Drosophila melanogaster: one gene and its partners. The protein of the gene in region 2 interacts with the protein of the main gene of each other region in a pairwise test. Each region holds a gene or a part of one and is shown on either strand. Other genes may lie near its edges. The genes, in order: pie, CG10616 and CG4955.

Region 1 (3,756 bases), on a different chromosome or scaffold from region 2:
CCACCCAGCCAGGAACCTCTTTCCGCATTGCATTCATTTCCCAAAAAACCACTACTGAATCTTCGCCACAGCTTATCAGTTGTTGCGTGTGATTCGCGTACGACAGGGCGGAAACTTTGTTGCTACATAATCAGAAGTGCCGATTACTATCTTATTTTATGAATATTATTTAAGATTGGAGATACCTATGTCCCTGCAGCTCGTAAATGGTGCCACGTTTGCCACCAACATCCCAAACTAGCACGGACTGATCGCAAGCTCCGCTAAACAAGAGCTGAGGGCCTTCCACCCATTTGAGGCACCGGATTTCCGCTAAAAATTAACCAATTCGTATATAATTAGCTTACTAAATATCATTTGTAACTTGTTTACCCGAATGTCCATTGAAAGTGGTAATTAGTTGCACTCCCTGAACATCGCACCTTAGCATTGTTATCTGTCCAGCATGATCGCCCACAAAGGCATACTTGGCCAAAGCGTCGAACCTAAACGCAGATTATAATTAATTATATGTTGCTTATAGAATATTTCGCACAGTGCACACATTTATGCCAAAATTTTGTGTAGATAAAATGACTCAGTTGACACGTCATTAACAATAGAAGGTTCTCAAATTCTAAATGAATTCCATAGCCGTGAAGAATTGCAGTTTATTGCCGTGTCAAAGAAAGCAGTTTAATCCAATTAAATGACCCGCTTATCCCATATCCACTGTCGCACCCCCTTCCCCCTTTCACCATCCATTTATCATACTTACTGGAGAGCCGTGCATGGTGTCTCAAAGTTGTATCCGCCCACCCGTTTGCCGCTCTCCGTGCAATGATAGGCGAACTGCTTATCTTTGCCGGCGGAGAGTATCCACTTGTGGGTTTTCGAGAAGACCACGGCCATGACCCGCGCTTGATGGGACAAGTAATCCCGCAGGAAGGACAGGCGATTGCAGTCTTCGGATAGCGCGTACTGGGTGACCGTTCCGTTTTCCTGGCCGACGTACAGGTGCCGGGATTCCGAAACGTACTCGATGGCCGTGCAGCCGGAAGGCATATACTGGCAAATGCTAGGCCAATATTGACCAGAATCGCGTTTTAGCCAAACGCGAACGGTTCTATTGGGGAAAACATGAAAATGTCAGGCATACCATTTGTGTATATTTTTAATGGGCTACAGCTACGCACTTGTCATCGGAAACGCTAATTACGCCGTTTTCGCCCGGAATTAGGATCGCTGCGTTCACATCGTCGCTGCTGCCCTCCAGCTTACTCAGCAATTCCGGCTTTTTGGAGGTGTTAAAGCGATCATTGTTGGTCCGCTGAGCTGGTTTTATCTCGGCAGCCATATTATTTAAGGTGGATCCAGTCCGATGGTACGCCTACGCCCTATTTAACGCACTCGATGATAATGCGGTTATAAACAATCCGATTCTCGGACTGGGGAAGGTGAATGGAGATACGTGATTCACAATCAATTAACAAAACTGTGTTATTTTGTTTAACATTAAATATACTGAACTTTGTTGTTGGAAAGCTCGTCTAGATAGCGACGCCAAGTTTAGGAATGCTGCGGAATAGTGGAATCGATGAAATGAAAATAGAATCTTAATTGTTAGATATAGTTTTTGCGTATTATTGTATATTATTTTGCTATTAAAAATACTGAAGGTATTTCGTGTGATGTGTCGCAGCATTATGTATGCATATGCACGCACCACATTTTATAAACATACAAACGAGCATTTGAATCTTGAATCTCAGAAATCGCTTTATAAATGTATAGTCTTATGATTTTCATAATGGCATATCATATCTAATAAAACCTACGGACCACGCACAGTTATGTTTCCGGTTATCATGCTATTTAATTATTAATCACAAAATATTTGTTTATATTGTGTTAAGTTTTTAATACGTTAAAATTTATTATTACACATAAATAAATAATTTTATTATAAGTAGGGTTAACGCAAAATATAGCTAGTTAAGCAGATTAGATCATTGTGAGTGTTGCTCAGTGGAAACAGAGCTTTTCCAAAAATGTGCTTGGTGGAATTGAAGTATAATAAGGCGCTGTTGTATTTATTGTTTTTCAAAATCCTTGCCCGCCAATAGAGTAAAAAAGGAATGCAAAACATGTTGATAGTTTTAAAAATTATTCATAATAGCACTCAAACGAGTTGATCTGTCCAGCAAAACTAGTCTGAGCGGCCAGCTTACAAATGGAAGATAACAAGGAGCTGCAATGCTTAATATGCAAATATTCGGACACTGACGACCTGGTCTTTGGCGAATGGATGATTGTACGCAATTTGCAGGTGCACTATTTTTGCCTGGTAAGTGCGATTGTTGTGAAATGAAGAGAACTCCCGCTAATGTAAACTTCCTGATCCAATCCACCAGCTACTCTCAACGCATTTGCCGCAGCGCGGCGGAGATAGCAGTGGAATCCTGGGATTTCTGCTTCGCGATATCCGCGAGGAGGCAGCCGCCGCGGAGAAGAGGAAATGTTGGTACTGCAATAAGATTGGGGCCAGTTTGCAATGCGATCGTTGCCGGTCATTGTTTCACCTGAAGTGCGGCCTGGAGAATCGCGCCGTTTTCGAGTTCTGCGGCCAATACAAAAGCTACTGCTACAAATGCAGGCCGATGGATGACTACAAGCGACAGCTGCAGTCGAATCCGCCGAGGAACGCCACTTGCCCCATCTGCTTCAGTTCCATCTATAAGGTAGAGCTGCATTGCGTTGTGTACGGTGACTGCTGCCGCCTCGGATTCGCCCATAAGAAATGCATGCGTCAGTACGCTCTGACCTCCGGATATTACTTGCGTTGCATTTGGTGTCGTTCGGAACGTTTCAGGGATTCCATACGCCTGCAGTCGGTATTCGTGCCCGATCGCGATGCCACGTGGGAGAAGCAACGGAACGCCTATAGGGAGCTCCACGAGCGCAATCTGAAATGCGACCAGCCCAACTGCCTGTGCCCCAGTGGTAGAACTTATAATAGATTATCGTGGGTGATACTATGCTGCAGTTCTTGTGCCGCCACTTCGGCTCATCTTAAATGCTTGGTGGGCGCCCTGCGACTGCCGAAGAAGCGCGAGCGTACAGATTTCAAGTGCTCTATGTGCCTGGACGTGGAGAGGAGGATTGCTGAAGGACCGGCTCGCACAACAGAAGAAACCAATGCTGACGGCGACAACCAGGTGGATGGCTCTTTTTATGTGCAAAAATTGGGACCCGATGCTGCAACTCGATCCTTAACCCAGACTCCTGTTTTCTCCGAAGAAGACGAAAGCGAACGAAGTAGTAATATCACGGTTATATTCAGCCAACCGAAATCTAACGCAACAAGCGAGAGGTTATCCTTATCGCCGCCACAGGAGGAGATGATAGTGGAAATTCCTGATTCGCCAGAGGCGTCGCCAAAGACGTCCATCGATGAGAACCACTCGCCGCAGCCAATAGCAAGAAGGGACACATCCGACTCACCACAGCCAATAGCAGCAAGTGAGATCCCCGACTCACCGCAGCCAACAGCAGCAAGTGAGATCCCCGACTTACCGCAGACAACAGCAATAAACGTAAACCCTGAATTAACGCAGCAAACAGCATTAAACACGATTCCACACTCACCGCAGCCAGAAGCCAGCTTCTCAACGCAGCTAGTATCACAAACTTTCGATTGTCCACAGCCGCAGGAACAAGCTGTGGCGAAAGCTCCCAACTCACCGTCACTGCCGAAAGAGGATCCAAATACTTTAC
Region 2 (3,756 bases):
TTGAGGTAATAATGCCGCTCATGTGCAGCGTGCCACTAAATTCGCGCACCTTGATGTCCGTCGGTTTGCTCAGCTGGCATTTCATGGGGAGCACGATGCTCGCCCGGATGGTTTCAGTGCCTCCGATGATTCCTTCGGACGCAAGCCGCGGCAGGGAGTCAGTGGTGTTGCTCGAGGCAGTGGCCGTGCCACCTGTTGTCGATGTCGGTTGCAGCTTGTCCACTTTCGTCTTTTTCTTTTTGATATAGGCCTGCAGATCGATGGTGTCCTCGACAACTTCGTTTTGGAGGAATACTTCACTGGCGAGCAGGTTCTTGCGCACCGACACTATCATACTCTGGAACTGGTCTTCGATGTTGACGCGACGCGAGGAGTCCAGTATGGGCAGCACATCATCGAAATCGTAGCTGCACTCCAGCTGAATCCACTCGAAGGGTTTGTCCACAAACCGGAACTCCATATTGGTGAAAGTGCCGCCGCTATCAAAAGAAATACTCATATTATATTTAGGCTAGGAAAAGTCTGAATGTAATCAAACTACCATATAAACATGAACAATCCTAATGGTTAACTAACACATAAAATGCATTCCAAGAAATAAGAAACACAAGGACAAGGATAGCAAAGAAAGTGATTATTGAACATAGAACATAAGTTATGAAAGTACATAGTTCTCAACTTTTTAGTTACCATATGATGCATTTTATGTTTGCCGTAAAATACGTTTTTTTGCAATGTCTAGTTATAAATTGTAAGCGATTCGTTTGGTGAAAGAAAGAATACACATTGAGACCCGTATCTGTGATCAGGGATTACGTTTCCGATACTCACTTGCCATAGCTGTAGTTCTTGCAGAGCACTTTCTTGTCGGCCAGCGAATACGAGAGGAATACGAAATCAGTCTGTGCAATGTCGGTGGTGTAGACGCCAAACGAGCTGTTGCTTTTCAGGAGCAAACTGGAAAAGTAAGAAAAGAGGTCATTTCAAATGGAGACTCATATCATACTCATATAGTTAGTGACTTACTCGTAAATATCTGAAAACAGCTTTTTGGCATTCTTAAATTCGGCGCTCTGTTCGTTTACTACATCGGATCTTACTGAAGACACAAAGATTCCTGCAAAGATAAATAATTCATTAATAATTAATTCTAGATGGTAAGTCCTAAAGCTTCGCTTACTTTCATCTTAGTTAAGTACCTAAGTTTACATTACTGGTTTCACTACCCATTACTGATAGCTTAAAGATTTATCTATGACGAAAGATCAAAAGTTTCGAATTGACAGATTAAACAGTCAAATTGGGTGGGTTAGCCCATATACAAAACATACAAAAAAAAAGGGTTTGGCTAAATTTCGAATCCACGGGAGGAATACAAGGTCCCCATAAATAATATGCCTTAGCATTATGACTATGATTATTTCTGGGTAGGGCAGATAAAACTGCAGGGGCAGCACGCAAACCCACCGATGACGTCAAAAGATCCGGGACACATTTTGCTGGCGCTCAGCCACTGGGAGGCCAATGCCTGTGAGTTGATGTCCGAGATGGTGAGCCGGACCTCCGACAGGTCCTCCAGATCCGCATCCTCCTCGTTGTTCCTGGCCAGGTGGACCACCACGCTCTTGGTGAGATCCGCTTGCTATTTCAACCGAAGCGGATGAAACCAGGAGAAAGTGGAGATTCAGTTGAGCGGGGGAACCAAACAAAATCTACGTGGCGGATGGCACTTACATGGCCCACGATTATCCCGTACGAGAACTGGTTCTCCTGTGCGCATTTCTCCAGGTACAGCTCGTCGTGTTTGCTCAACAGCACTGTGCGCATCGTGGCTCTGGGGTTTCTGTTTACTTCGTAAATTTAATGTTAACTATATTCGTTCCGAAATGACAAATTTTTAGAGCTGGGTACACCCCCCACGATAGTAGCTGTAATCGAATACTTGCTATCGAGGCTAAATTTCGATAGTGAGCGATAGTGCTAAGCTATTCAAATTTGAATTCAATTGCTATTTATTTTCGGATTTTAAAAATAACGCCACAATCAAGTCCATTGACCTTAATTAAATGGTGTTTGGGAATTTATTTATTTTGAATGTGCCGACTATCGATACGCACCAGCTCTATGAATTGGTGTGACCGAAGGTTATATTTTAAAAGTATGGATTATGAGGTAAATTCTTATCGATATTTAACGAAGTTTATTTAAAAAAGCTTGCCATCTCTAGAAAACTGTTAAATTTAAAAATATATTCGAAATTTTAAAAAGTGTAATTAATAAAACAACATTACCCTTTTTTTTTACTAAGAATAACTACTAAATTTTACATGTTTGTCCAAGATTTATTTAAAAAGTGTTTCAAATACCATGTGCAACATCTAGATAATATAATATATATGTTTAACAGCTCCTGGCGAGGCATTTAAAAAAAAAAATAACATTCAATAACTGTATACGTATAAATACGTAAATATACCTTATTTAAATAACTCCCTGAATGTTTATACAAATTTTATGAGAATAGGCACACTTTACTTTTATCAATTAGAACATGATTGAATAGATTTATTTATTAATTTTAAGAAATTGACAAGCAGTAATTTAAAGAAGACTCTTTGATATAGGGTTGTTTATTATTGAAATGTAATTGCAGTTTACTTTTGATTTTTCTTTACGAATCGATAAAGTCCTTGAGTGTTTATTTTCCTAATCTTTAGACACTCGACTTAGGATATTAAGACTTAATTTACCTCCGCGACTGCAAAGCGATGAAAGTATGTATGTATGTACCCCCGTGGCAGGTTCTTCAATTAAGGCCCCCGGCTCCAGCAGCAACATAATCTCCATCTCCATCTCCCAATTCCGCTGCACTGCATCAGCTGCCGTGGGGCGATTACGCACGACGTCTGGCCGAAGAGCGGACCCCATGAGTACGGATCCGTGCCACCCAAATGGTCAAGTGGCCGGTGGACTATGGCGCGAACGGACGCGATCGGTAATCGAATTAGGTAAACAAACACTCCATAAGGCGGGCGTACGTTGATAATGTGTGCATAAGCAAATAGGAGACCGTATTGGGATTGGAATTGGGATTGGGATTGGGGCTGGAACTCTGCGCTGGACGGATGGATTGGATGGACTGCGATGGATGGGGAGATCTCGAGGAGCGGGTTGCGATTGCGGCGGCGATGACGGGCGAAAAAAAACTAAATGAAATTTCATTTAGGTGGTCGCCAACGGCTGCGGACCATCTGCTTGTGTGAATGCTTGATTGTTGAAGTGCCACTTGATGGGGCGAGGGCGCACGCTACTCGCGGGGATTACACTGGCCAAAATTGGGATCAAATGGTTACGAAATATGTATATACCATATATAACACTATTCCATAGAGACCATTGATTCAACTCTTTAAATATTGCTATAGATCTTGAGTAAACTAGTAAAAAAAAATCGTAAAAAATATTTTTAAAAATTTCAGACTTTAATTAAGAACTCTTACTGTCAAGTTAAGACAAAAAAATGTTGTAAGAAGATAATTCTGTTACTTTAAATTATCCCAGAAAACAATGGAATGAAAAATATCTCAGTGCTGAAAGGTTTCTTTGGTTGCTGAGCAATATGGGTCACCGGTTTACGCAATTTCTTACCGTGCAGCGATCGGTATCCAGATATTATTTACTTAGTAAATTATTCCTGTTCGATTGTTTGCGTTTGCTCTGGATCTCTGGCATGAGGGCACTCGAACGTCATCGTCA
Region 3 (3,756 bases), on a different chromosome or scaffold from region 2:
ACAATGGTGGGTGGTTGTTTCATCTCAGTCGGAATAGCATATCGTCTCGAGCTCAAGAAAATTGCCCGTCCCTCGCAATCCGTATACCTCGTTTTGCGGTGCGTGTGAAAGCCCAGGCTGGGTCCACAAGTGGCTGCCTTCTTAATCTTCGGCTTATGAGCACAGGTCTTGGTTTTGGATGCACAGCTCTTGGTCTTTGGCTTGGTGGATCTGTGAAAGAAGCCAATGCCACCACCTTTGGTTCTGGAACGGGCTCGATCCCGTGAATGACAGCAGGAACCACTGAGGTTGGTCACCTGCGATATGGCAAACGCAACGAGCAGCAGCCCGAACACAATGGCCACCGCCACCTGAATGTTGCGATCGGCGTTCTTCAGGTCCACCAGCAACTGGACAACATGGTAGCCCAGAGTAATCCAAAATGTTATCGTGCAGATGGCAAAAAAACTAATGGAAGATTACGTAGATTATCATAGAGTTGGAATGATCCAATCCTGGAATATATAAATATATACTCACACTAAAACACCGAGGACCTCCAATAGGAAGGTAATGAAGAAGTTAAGCTGCTCACTTCCGAAATCTGTTCCAAAAGTTCCCCGCTGCCCGGCGCCAACTTGCTTATAGCCGCCACCTTGAGCTCCTCGTAGGGCGCTCTGTACAGGTGGGCCTCCTGATCCCGTTGTCAATATTAATGGACCAGTTCCCATGGTTCCCGGACCTAGAAAGCTTCCGGGATCAACGCCATGGGCCTGACCGCATCCAAAATCACAGCCAGTTCCATAGCCACAGTCCTCATCGCATGCAACGCCCAGACTGCATCGGTTCTGGCCCAAATTAGCGGCGCCCAGACTGATGGCGAATCCCAGGGTGTCTCTGCCGGCAGGTCCAGCGGCAACTTGTTGTTGTCGCGCCGCCCAACCATGGTGGCAGGCTCCCACGCTCCTCTCACTCTCACCCCTGTTGCCATTATTGTAATCCCCGTTGGACATCATGCTGCTATACCTGTTCTGATCGTAGATGGCGTTCGGGGAGAAGTTTATATTGCCAACCATACTTTCGCTTACAGCCACGGGAGTGGTTTCAAAGCGCAGATTGCCCCCTGCGGGCTCATTGGATGTGGTTCTCGCCGAAGAGGTTTGGAACACTTCCACCATTTCCTCCGATATCCGCGTACTGTCCGAATCCCTGGCTTCAGCACTGAAGACCAAGCTAGCGTGTTGTCCATGCACCGCCGATCCCCGGGGACTGGCCGACTCCGGAATGACCATAACCCCCGGATTTACTTCTGACACTTCCGATGCGCCGGATTCTCTTAGTGGTACGATTGGTGCTCCACCTTCTTCTGGATTTTCGGTAACTTGTAGGCTGTGCGGAGCTCTTGCGATGCGAGAAACTCTTCTGAGTCGTTCGCCCAGAAGGGATGTCATGGTTGGTGCTTTATTACCGTCCGGCTGGAGGAGTAACGCTTTGGCGGTGGCAGGCAATGATGAGCCACTGTCTTCCTCTACTCCTCCTCCAACTGAAGAGTTTGATTTGGAGCACACGTATTTACGCGAGGACTTTCGGGGTCTTCGCCTCTCCATTCTGATCTTGGTCCAACTGGAGGAGAAGTGGCAAGCTGTAAAGGTCTAAAGTATACACTATCGATTTCTGGGTCTACAAATATACTGACTAACGGACTGACAAAGGGATAACTAATGTAATTTGAGTTGGGGAAAAGCGGCTACGTTGATCGGTTGAACAACGTATTTATTTTCTTAAGAGAATTAATATTTATTAACATTTATTTCATATGCATTATGTAAAGTTATGTATAAAAATAACCCATAAAACGTTTACTCAACAGAAAGCAACGAGGACGTGGAGTTCATCCGGAACACCACATGGTACATAATGCCGGTCCTGAATCCGGACGGATATGCGTACAGCCACGAGTACGATCGTTTCTGGAAGAAGTCGCGATCTCAGCACCAGACTCCACCTCCCAGTGGCCTCCTCGACTCGGCGATGACATGGCTCCAGCAAAAACGGGGTCCGGATAAGGTCTGCTACGGGGTGGACCTGGACAGAAACTGGCTGTATCATTGGGGCAAACGGGGTAGCTCCAAGGCACCCTGCAATGAGTTCTACGCCGGTCCAGCGCCATTTTCTGAACCGGAAACCAAGGCAGTATCTGAGTTCCTTATGGACTATAGGACGCAGATAAAGGTATGCTTAGAACAATATATAATTTTTATATTAACTCTCTAAAATAGATATATTTTTTGATTTATTAACTTTATTCATTATTTTTGCAGCTTTACATTTCCCTACAGGCCTATGGTCAGGTGATATCCTATCCGGTCAAGGCCAATTCCACTTTCAATTCAGAAAGATTGGATGATTTTCTGGACGTGGCGATGGTGGGTACCGATGGATTGCGCAAAAAGGGTAGTAAGTCCCGATATAAGGTCGACGCATCCAACGATCTAATTGAACAGCGATCGGGTGCGTAATATTTATATTATTTGCTTCGAAGTAGAATATAATAGAGATCTTTATCCGACCTTGCCAATCCTTTGGCTTCCTTGATTTATCCAGGCTGTGCGGACGCTTTTGCCGCCTACGAGATCGGAATTCCCTTCAGCTACACGCTCCAGCTGGCGGACAACGGAGTGCACGGTTATCTGCTGCCCAGCAGCGCCATTGAGCCCACGGCTCGGGATGCCTTTGAGATCATAAGCGGCATGCTGGACTACATATGAGGCTGGGATGCGGAGATCGGATTCCAATCGAAGACGAAGGCAGCAGGGATTTGGGGTGGGGCTACATGTGAATGAGTTTTAGTTCCTTTTAAACGGGCTTTGGTGGCTTGCGTTCCGGAGATCACTAGCCGTATTTCCGGAATACATTCTCCAATACTTTTAGCTGCATTTACGTATCTTATGCATTCGAAATTTTTTTTTTATTTCATATAAATTCCCTTAAGTTGAGATTTCCGTTTAGCATAATAAATATTATTGTTATATGTATGTATATTATAATTAATTATCAGCAATTTTTTTTTGGTAGTTTTAATCCCTTTTAGACTAAATAGTATACTATAATAAAGTCTTATATTTGATCGAGCATTCGATTGCTTCGCTTTCGTATAACATTTTGCATGGATGCCATGTAGGGAGATATTTTCAACGTACAGTATTTCTTAAGTTCTTGCCAAATGTACGCACTGTCTTAGTATTATATGCGGATATAATATAGCGTGCCTTGCCTTTTATAAATTCATTTTCTTAAATATTCGACCGTTCCCCATTTGGATATCTTTTGGGAAGGCAATATGAATAGCTTTAAGTCAATAAAATGGAAATGCAGTCTTAATAACTCGAAATTCGTTCGAGATTGGAAAATTCGTTCCAGCTTTGAAAATATTCGTCTAACCTGACAAAATGCATGTTTTAATAATGCATAAGGTAAACGTTCTAAGTAAGTATTGTTTGAAAAGCAAGAGCATACGGCGAATAACTACAATACTGCCAGCTATGATTAAACTCAGGAACTGGTTACCAAGGCACTGTAGTGGCTCCAAACTTCTGTCCTTCGTCTAGGCGAATCTCTGGGAGACCATGATCTTGGCCGAGAGCTTGGCAAAATTCGTGTGGCACTCGTTGCCGTGGAAATAGAGTCCAATAAGCAGCTTGAACTGGGCTGCTGACATGGGATACGGTTCCTGCGACATGACCACAATGGTGTCGATGCTTTTGCCCGCCTTCTGTT

The links.
Region 1: the proteins of CG10616 (region 2) and pie interact in a two-hybrid assay, tested with the Drosophila melanogaster proteins (one large-scale study listed by BioGRID).
Region 3: the proteins of CG10616 (region 2) and CG4955 interact in a two-hybrid assay, tested with the Drosophila melanogaster proteins (one large-scale study listed by BioGRID).

Annotation. Positions count from the first base shown.
Region 1 is NT_033779.5:10,421,100-10,424,855, reverse strand, and holds the start of pie (pineapple eye), read left to right. Parts: upstream 1-2,075; 5' UTR 2,076-2,212; coding exon 2,213-2,326; intron 2,327-2,393; coding exon 2,394-3,756. Other genes in the region: Wdfy2 (WD repeat and FYVE domain containing 2), read right to left, coding at 1-122, 186-312, 373-485, 758-1,105, 1,176-1,336. UniProt on the Drosophila melanogaster protein: Required for survival of imaginal disk cells possibly by regulation of cell apoptosis. Required for germline stem cell self-renewal through mediation of BMP signaling.
Region 2 is NT_037436.4:12,469,908-12,473,663, reverse strand, and holds the start of CG10616 (uncharacterized protein), read right to left. Parts: upstream 1,937-3,756; 5' UTR 1,828-1,936; coding exon 1,735-1,827; intron 1,643-1,734; coding exon 1,468-1,642; intron 1,118-1,467; coding exon 1,027-1,117; intron 958-1,026; coding exon 832-957; intron 739-831; coding exon 691-738; intron 480-690; coding exon 1-479. UniProt on the Drosophila melanogaster protein: May play a role in the trafficking of a subset of G-protein coupled receptors.
Region 3 is NC_004354.4:17,079,414-17,083,169, reverse strand, and holds the start of CG4955 (uncharacterized protein), read right to left. Parts: upstream 1,724-3,756; 5' UTR 1,587-1,723; coding exon 520-1,586; intron 448-519; coding exon 1-447. Other genes in the region: CG8945 (uncharacterized protein), read left to right, coding at 1,850-2,211, 2,301-2,490, 2,584-2,747; CG4949 (uncharacterized protein), read right to left, coding at 3,584-3,756.